Linked DNA regions of Daphnia pulex. The protein of the gene in region 2 interacts with the protein of the main gene of each other region in a biochemical or structural test. Links are inferred from orthologs where the notes say so. Each region holds a gene or a part of one and is shown on either strand. Other genes may lie near its edges.

Region 1 (3,658 bases), on a different chromosome or scaffold from region 2:
TTGGACAACCAAATGAACTGGTCACAACTCTGTCTGACCTTTTCTCTTAAAAAGAAGATGTCACTGTGGCTTTTTTTTTCGCTGACTGGACACGATAAATTATTACATGAAAACCCCAGTGTTTTCGTCCCAGATACCCACGGGGTCCGCCATTCCTGACCAACAGTCCCGACCCCCCGCATGTCTCACCTGAGGAAAAGAGGAAAAAAAAGACCTTTTTCATTTTTTTCTTTTTTTTTCTGGGGTTCCCGCCTACTATTTTAAACATTTTTAGTTTTTTGGGTCGCCCTTCAACAAATCTCGTAGCTGCCGTTATACACGATGTTACATATAATAGCCTTCCACCTTGTGCTTTTAACTTAAGATGTCATTCTCTGATGACCTGAACCATTTAACGGCCCGTGTCGATCCCCGGGGAGTCTTAGGGGTATTTAGAAATTCCAACAATTTACACATTTTTAATTGATCTACCTGGAAATGAACGGCAAAACGCTATTTGTGTTTGCTTTCGAAATAGGTATCTAGAGGCAAATTTTTTCTTCTTTCACCCATCTTCAACTATTGATAAATCGTATACTAGCTTGTTTCGTTAATCCCGCAAGACCTGTTGCGCACGCAACGCCTCGGGACTCCTGGACGCTCGAGCGAAATGGCCATCTCTCTTTCCTTCTCTTTTTCAGCTTTTATCGCTGTACCCAGTGGTAACAGCAGCAGCAGCAGCAACAGGATGAATTTATTTCCTCGAGGAGAAGAAGAATAAAAGGAAGGAAAAAAAAGGCATATTGGGTAATCTCTGCGGCCTTATCGACTGTAACATACAATCTAGCTGGCAACCTGAAGACGAAAGAGAATGAGAGGGAAGATAAAAAGGAAAAAAAGGGGAGAACGCCGATAGATAGTGAACGAGAGAGAGAGAGAGAGAAAGAAAGAGCTATTTGCATACTAAGCAGACAAGGCCCTTTCTCTCTTTTTCTTTAGTCGTCTTGGATTACAGCCGGACAAAATGTGTGTTTTACAAATTTCTCGTGAAACAGAGTGGACAAAAAAAAAATCGCCATCGGTCCGTTACCCAGACAATGATAACACGAATTCACAATCTCGTTTCGCTTAATTATAATCAAGTTTTTTTTTTTCAGAGGGTTTAGGGAGAATAATTTTTATTTATTTTATGATTCTCTTGTTGGATAGAATTGAATATCCCCCCTTCATCGGTTCTTTTTTTATTAGTATTATTATTTGTTTTGCTGTGACGCCTTTTTCCCTCTCTGGATTGGATTGGCGTGGCGACCCCCCCACCAACCAAACAAACATAAACGAGGAAGACTAGTTAAAAAAACAGGACATTTTATGTGATTTGGGTGCTGCAGACTGCGCAACTGCCACTGGACGGGCAACAAAGGAAAGTTACGAGCCCATTGCAAAGGTCCGACGGTTTCGAATTTTTATGGAGGTCATCAAAAGTGAAAGAAAGAAAAAAAAAGGGGGTCTGCGTGTTGTTGAGCGACACGGCCGAGGACGAGTCGTTCGGATCATGCAGCTTAGACGTGTGTGTGTGTATGTGTGTGTGTGCCGTGCCCGTCTCTTTCCGCTAGTTGTACCGGCCGAAAAAGAAAAAAGAGTTATGACGCGCTCCGCCCCCTACTTCCAGCAGCCCCCCCTGCACCACCATCACGTAAGAGTACATCATCATCATCATCACAGGAGCGGTCAGAAGCGTTCAACAGGGCCGTCGAAAACACACAAAATCGTGATCCGACACAGTTTTGCGACTTTGTTGCTGTCGATCTCATGACACTCGTGAAAACGGATCGTAAATTATGTCCCACGCGTTCGTCTTTTATTTTATTTTTCAAAAAAAGAGGAAAAAGAGACGCGCCCGGTAATTTACGATGTTTGAAAAAGAAAAAGGAAAAAATGAAATGAGCGGGAGGGCGCGGACTTACCGGCGATGGCCATCCACGGGTAGAATGTATGGGCAGACGATTGACTCTGTGGCGATTGCTGCTGGCTAATGGCGTGGCTGGCGTGCTGACCGCTCGTGTTGTGGTTGCTGTGCTGTTGAACCGAGTTGTGTTGGTGTTGTTGCGAGTGTTGCGTGTTGTGCTGGGACACGACGCCGACGCCGCCGCCGCCTCCGTGCTGCGGCACCGGCGCCTGAACGGCTGTGGTGGCGTTGAGGGAGCACGGGCTCCACGGGTTGTTGTTTGGACCGACCGAGTTGGCCGGGCGAGGGGTGACGGCGCTGATGGCCGCTTCCGGCCCGACTCCGACGCCGCCAGAGACGTTGGACACGACGCCCGGGTAACCGCCGCCGCCTCCGACGACTCCGCCACCGCCGCCGCCCACCACGCCTCGGTTGTTGATGTTGTTGTGTCCGTGACCGACGGAACCCACTCCGACACCCCGGTCGTTGACTCCACCTTGCTGGGCCGCTCTGGCCGCATCGGCCGCCGCAGCCGCCGCCGCCTGCGCCCACGAACTGATGGCCGAATTGTTGTCGGATTTGACGTTGATGCCCGCCGAACTGTAGCCGTTCTGGTCGGCTTTGCTGCAGTCCAATTTGTACTGTTGCTCGTAGAGTTTGCAGGAAGCGGCCGCTGCGGCCGCCGCCGCAGCCGCCGCTGTCGACTGGTCGTAGGAATCGACTTGCTGGCGGGTCACGCCGCCTGAGGGCGGCCCGTAAGGATTGACTCCGAGACCCAACGGGAATCGGTACGCCTGCTCGGCCCCCGTCTGTCCATGTCCACCGTAGAAGCCGGACTGTTCAAAGTACGAGTTCATCATTTTCGATCAACTTTTTCGCTTTACCAATTTTTTCTTTCGTCTTATCTTGTCCACCACCGAAAAAAATTCGTTCACTTTAATTCGCCACACCAAATCCAATTTCACAAATTAAAAAACGAAAAAAAAAAAAATAATTTGTAACACTCAAGGTCCGATTTTGACTCAACGAACGAATCGTTGACGACTGCACTGATGAGAAGAAGGGAATACACTGAGTGAGAGAGTGGCAGACTGTACTATTCAAACTGTGTGCCGTGATGGGACTCGGTCCCGCGCGCTCAAAGGGAAGAGAGAAGAGAGGAGAGGACACACTGGGCACACGCTTGCGTCGGAGTCTGCTGATAGCGATCAACTAAAGCCGTCTGCTGTACGCGGGACTCTCAAAAGGGTGCCGGGCAAAGACACGGAGGCCTCTATAATGGGGGTATGAGTAGTAGTAGTTGTTGTAGTAGTAGCGGCGGCGGTGGCGGCAGCAGCAGCAGCCGGAGTCGAAGAGGTGGGGTCTACTCTCTCGCCTTGGCGGGGGGTTGGCTGCGAGAGCCAATGAGCGATCGTCGTTTGGGTTGCTGCACGCATCCGCTTTTAATGGCTCTGCGGCCGCGGGTCGGGCCTGCGCTCTGTGGTGGCCACAACCATCATGACGGGCACGAGGGGCGATTGGGGTGGGATGAGGGGGGAGGAGCTTTGCCTGGATTCTTTTGGTGTTTGTCGACGGAAGGACACGCCCACTTCGCCCCTTGTTGGAAATGGAAGAGTCGCCAGCGCCACTCTACGACGATTCCAGCTACCGCGTAACGACTGCACACACACAATACACACAACAGGATACTTTCGAGTAAGATGTAACAGCTTTTTCGTTGATTGTGTATGTGTG
Region 2 (3,758 bases):
CACTTCTAGTTGTCAAATAAAAACGATAACGACTACATCGACGGTTTCAACTATACGCAAAAGCGATTAAAACTACAGAGGTTTCTGAAACAAATGAGAAAAAACAAGCACCGATCGAGGTGATCCACAGAAACATTTTCTATCAAGACGAAACAACAAAGCTGCACTGAGAGGAAGGGACAAAAGAAGGAGTACGAGATGGGTTAGAACGAGTTAATCGAACAGCTGAAGATAGCTTGTAACGCACAGTATGATCAAGATCTGATGAAGTTAGTAAATTAAGAGTTGATTTGCCGAGAAATAGGGTGGAGGAGGAGAAGGGGCACTCGTCCACCCCTCAGGGTGAATTCACTTGATGCATACTTGGATCATAACCCATCGATGAATCGCCATAGCCCTACAAACACGTTTACATTAATTAATATGCTGAGATACCACTAGTTAAGTCATTAAAAGTAGTTTACTTGGCCGCCCATGGAGGAAGGAAAGTCACCACCGTTGAGTCCCATAGCACCGTACGGGCCTAAGGAATCTTGTGGACCCCTGAGTTCAGGACCACCAGGTTGAGGCGACATCATCGGTCCGGGAGTTCCAGCCATACTGTATGGCGAGGAACCTAACGAGAAAGAAAAAGTACGAAAATTAGAATCGCTCCGGTAATACGAGGATTTGAAAATCCTCAGAGTGGAAACAACTACCCGCGGCCTTTTTAGCAGCATACAGGTTGGCCTCCTCTTGGGCTTTTCCAATGTTTTTCTTGTAACGAATTCGTTTGTTACCGAACCAATTCGAAACCTTTTTTGTAAAAATAACAAAACATTAATGCGCTTATTCCTCTTAAAAGGATTTAAAAAGAAATTAACCTGTGAAACGGTGATCCCACATTTACGAGCGAGCTCTTCTTTGGCTTCTTCACTTGGGTAGGGGTTGCTTAGGTGCGAGTAGAAGTACTCATTCAAGATCTCAGAAGCTTGTTTGCTGAAGTTACGCCGCTTCCTCCTACATGATGAAGACATCGATAGAACAACACCTTTAATGGGCGTGGTCAAACCTTAAAAAAATAGCAAAATTTACCTGGCGTCGAGGAAACGAGATCGTAAAATCATAACGGCCTCGCAAGTGCTTTGCTTCAGCTGCATTTGGATGGAGCTAAACTTGCGATGAATGATCTGAACCATCCGCTCAATCTCCTTGGGTGTAATCGGACGAGTACGGGATTGTTCTCGGAGCAAATTCATAACATGGGTGGTGAATTCACTGCAAGCCTGAAAGCGGATGTAAAAATGAAATGGTTATTCTCCATTTTCTTGTCATAGAGGTCCAATAAAAAAATAAGCATTGCTAAAAATGTGTACCTGCTCATATTTCTCAAGCTCTTGATGGTAAATTTGACGAATTTGTGCCAACTTAGCCCTATAATCAGAGTGTTCAATAGCCGAGTCCGACATTGAGCCGCTTTGAGACGCTGCAGCTGATGCATTGGCAGCAGCACCGGCCCCACCTCCTTTTTCAGGACCAGCTACTCCTTCAGCAATCAACATGTTATCCAACCGCATGAGTTGCGGATCTGGAGGCTCCTCTTCTTGCGTGTTGCGTAGCGACAAAACTAAAGTGAGAGCACAATTTAATGTTACCATTCAATCACTTGGATTCATATTGAAATAGGGTTACCAGTTTTCTCTTTGATTTCACACAAGACAGAAAACAAAGCAGGTTTCATGCGATGACAGTTCAGGGTATGCTTGCGTGCTTGGGCTTCATCAAGACTCTGGTCTGTGATGTTCATGATCTGTTGCAGAATTTCTCCAATATCCTAAAAAAAAAGAAGTTTTACTTAAAAGGAAAAAAAGATTTTGGAAATGGAATTGTACACACCTGCTTTCGTCCAGTCATATTTTCAGAGTCTTGGTTCCCTCCATCAAGTGAAGCCATGTTAACCCCAACATTGACTCCGACATTGACAGGAGGTAACCCATACGGTGGCTGATGCATTAGTCCAACCTGGCCACCTGGAACAGGATGCATAAGTCGATTTGGATCATCCATCAAAAGCAATGAAATCTTCCAATGTCACTGCACAAAACGTATTGCCTTCAGGCTACAGGACCTGGCAATAAAGACCCTGTAAACAATGACTTTCCGTTTACTAACATCCATACATGTGATTTCATGAAATGTAAACATAAAATGAAATGTACTAGACACAACAAAGCACTAGTATTGCAAGAAAGCAATCGTAAATAACAAAAATTGGCTTCGGTTAATATAAAAATGCCAACGTCTTATAAAATGCCCAAGGCGACAAGCGTCCGCCATGGAAGAGAAGTTTGCTTGCGTAGCGTATTTCTTTCAATTAGAATAAAAACTTTCTTTACTGACTTGACACACAATTTGAAACCGGGAATTCACGAGTTGTTTAGTATTCAAACAGACTGAATCACATTTCTCAAAGGCTCATAAAATAATTACCAGAGATCGCCGAGATTATCGACGGGACAAAGCAAAAAAGACGCGAGAACGCGATCACAAAGGTAAGTATCGATAATTATATCGGGTAAGCCAATAATCGATGTACTAGAAACTCGCGATACTGTATTTATTTTTTATTTTGAATTTTATTAATTAAAATTTTATTTTTACAAATGAAAACGCAACAAGAGTAAAAATATAATGATGTTTGATGTTAAAATGTATTAATTTGACTTTAACCTCTATGAAGATAAATACATTTAAGTTACATAAGAGGCATTTTCTTGATAAATCGTCGATGCCACAAAAATGCTGTGATAATTGATAATGAATACCACGTTAAAATGTACGAAACGTGTTCATTTCTAACAGTAACAACTGTTTGTCCACCTACAGGTCCATCCGGTACTGTGCTATCAGCGTCCGCGTCAAAGAAAATTGGCGCAGTGTCTAGAAGCCGAGCCATTCCCTCCACATCTCTGTACGCAATATATATGAAGTTATCTAACTTTGCGAAAAATATAATTGTCTTTACCTGAAATGAAACATGCGGTCTTTGGGCTGATTTTGGGGTACAAACTGGGGGCGATTTTCATTAGAGCGGTACACTCCAATCAGTTTTGTTTCGCCTTCTCTTTGTCCATTTAGTCTGGTGAATGGATTCATTTTTTTACGAGGAATCCATCCGCGGTTTACAAGAACTGTGAGACTAAAAGTAACTTGTAGAAAATTGAGAAAATTAACTGTTTGAATGTCTTACTTGGAATCTGATAGTTTAAATGGAGTGATGACTAAATAGCCACTCTGCCCTGAAGACAACATCCCACCACCTTCATTTTTTTCATTTCCAACCAGTGATCTTGGCCCAATGTAAATCTCTTTGTCATGTTCAAATTTTCCATGGAGTTCAAACTTCCGGTATTCCATGTCAGATAGCCCTTCAATACTGTAGAGCATTGGTGTAAATATGCATAAAAGGGTAGAGTTAAAGAATTGTATCAGTCTCACTCTGTAGACTGAAATGGAATTGGTGGTGCAGACGTTCTGCTGGCAAGATGATCAATAACACCAAGTTTCCACTGACGTCTGAAAATCTGCCAGGTCCCAAGGCCGAAAGTGATGGCTGGAATAGCCTACATTTATTGGATCAATTTTTTGTTAAAGAACTATATGTACGTTTTATTTTTAAAATCGATTATCTTACCAATAACGAATAACCGTGAATTCCGATATCTACAGCATTTCTTTGCCCATAGCTTGAGGCTGATCGTCTTACGTAATTTTGTGTA

What was found.
Region 1: the proteins of homeobox protein extradenticle-like (region 2) and homeotic protein ultrabithorax-like are reported together in a solved structure, tested with the Drosophila melanogaster proteins (2 studies listed by BioGRID). The link is inferred for Daphnia pulex from reciprocal best matches to the Drosophila melanogaster genes exd and Ubx.

What each region holds. Positions count from the first base shown.
Region 1 is NC_060024.1:12,346,411-12,350,068, reverse strand, and holds part of homeotic protein ultrabithorax-like, read right to left. Parts: 5' UTR 2,785-3,658; coding exon 1,944-2,784; intron 1-1,943. UniProt on the Drosophila melanogaster protein: Sequence-specific transcription factor which is part of a developmental regulatory system that provides cells with specific positional identities on the anterior-posterior axis. Binds the consensus region 5'-TTAAT[GT][GA]-3'.
Region 2 is NC_060023.1:11,356,224-11,359,981, reverse strand, and holds the start of homeobox protein extradenticle-like, read right to left. Parts: upstream 2,557-3,758; 5' UTR 2,470-2,556; exon of another isoform or gene 2,380-2,469; intron 2,123-2,379; 5' UTR 2,047-2,122; coding exon 1,876-2,046; intron 1,814-1,875; coding exon 1,672-1,813; intron 1,607-1,671; coding exon 1,356-1,606; intron 1,266-1,355; coding exon 1,075-1,265; intron 1,000-1,074; coding exon 864-999; intron 796-863; coding exon 696-795; intron 617-695; coding exon 465-616; intron 398-464; coding exon 338-397; 3' UTR 1-337. Other genes in the region: surfeit locus protein 1-like, read right to left, coding at 2,735-2,948, 3,005-3,178, 3,230-3,415, 3,478-3,602, 3,674-3,758. UniProt on the Drosophila melanogaster protein: Transcription factor which acts with the selector homeodomain proteins altering the regulation of downstream target genes such as wingless (wg), teashirt (tsh) and decapentaplegic (dpp), thus affecting segmental identity.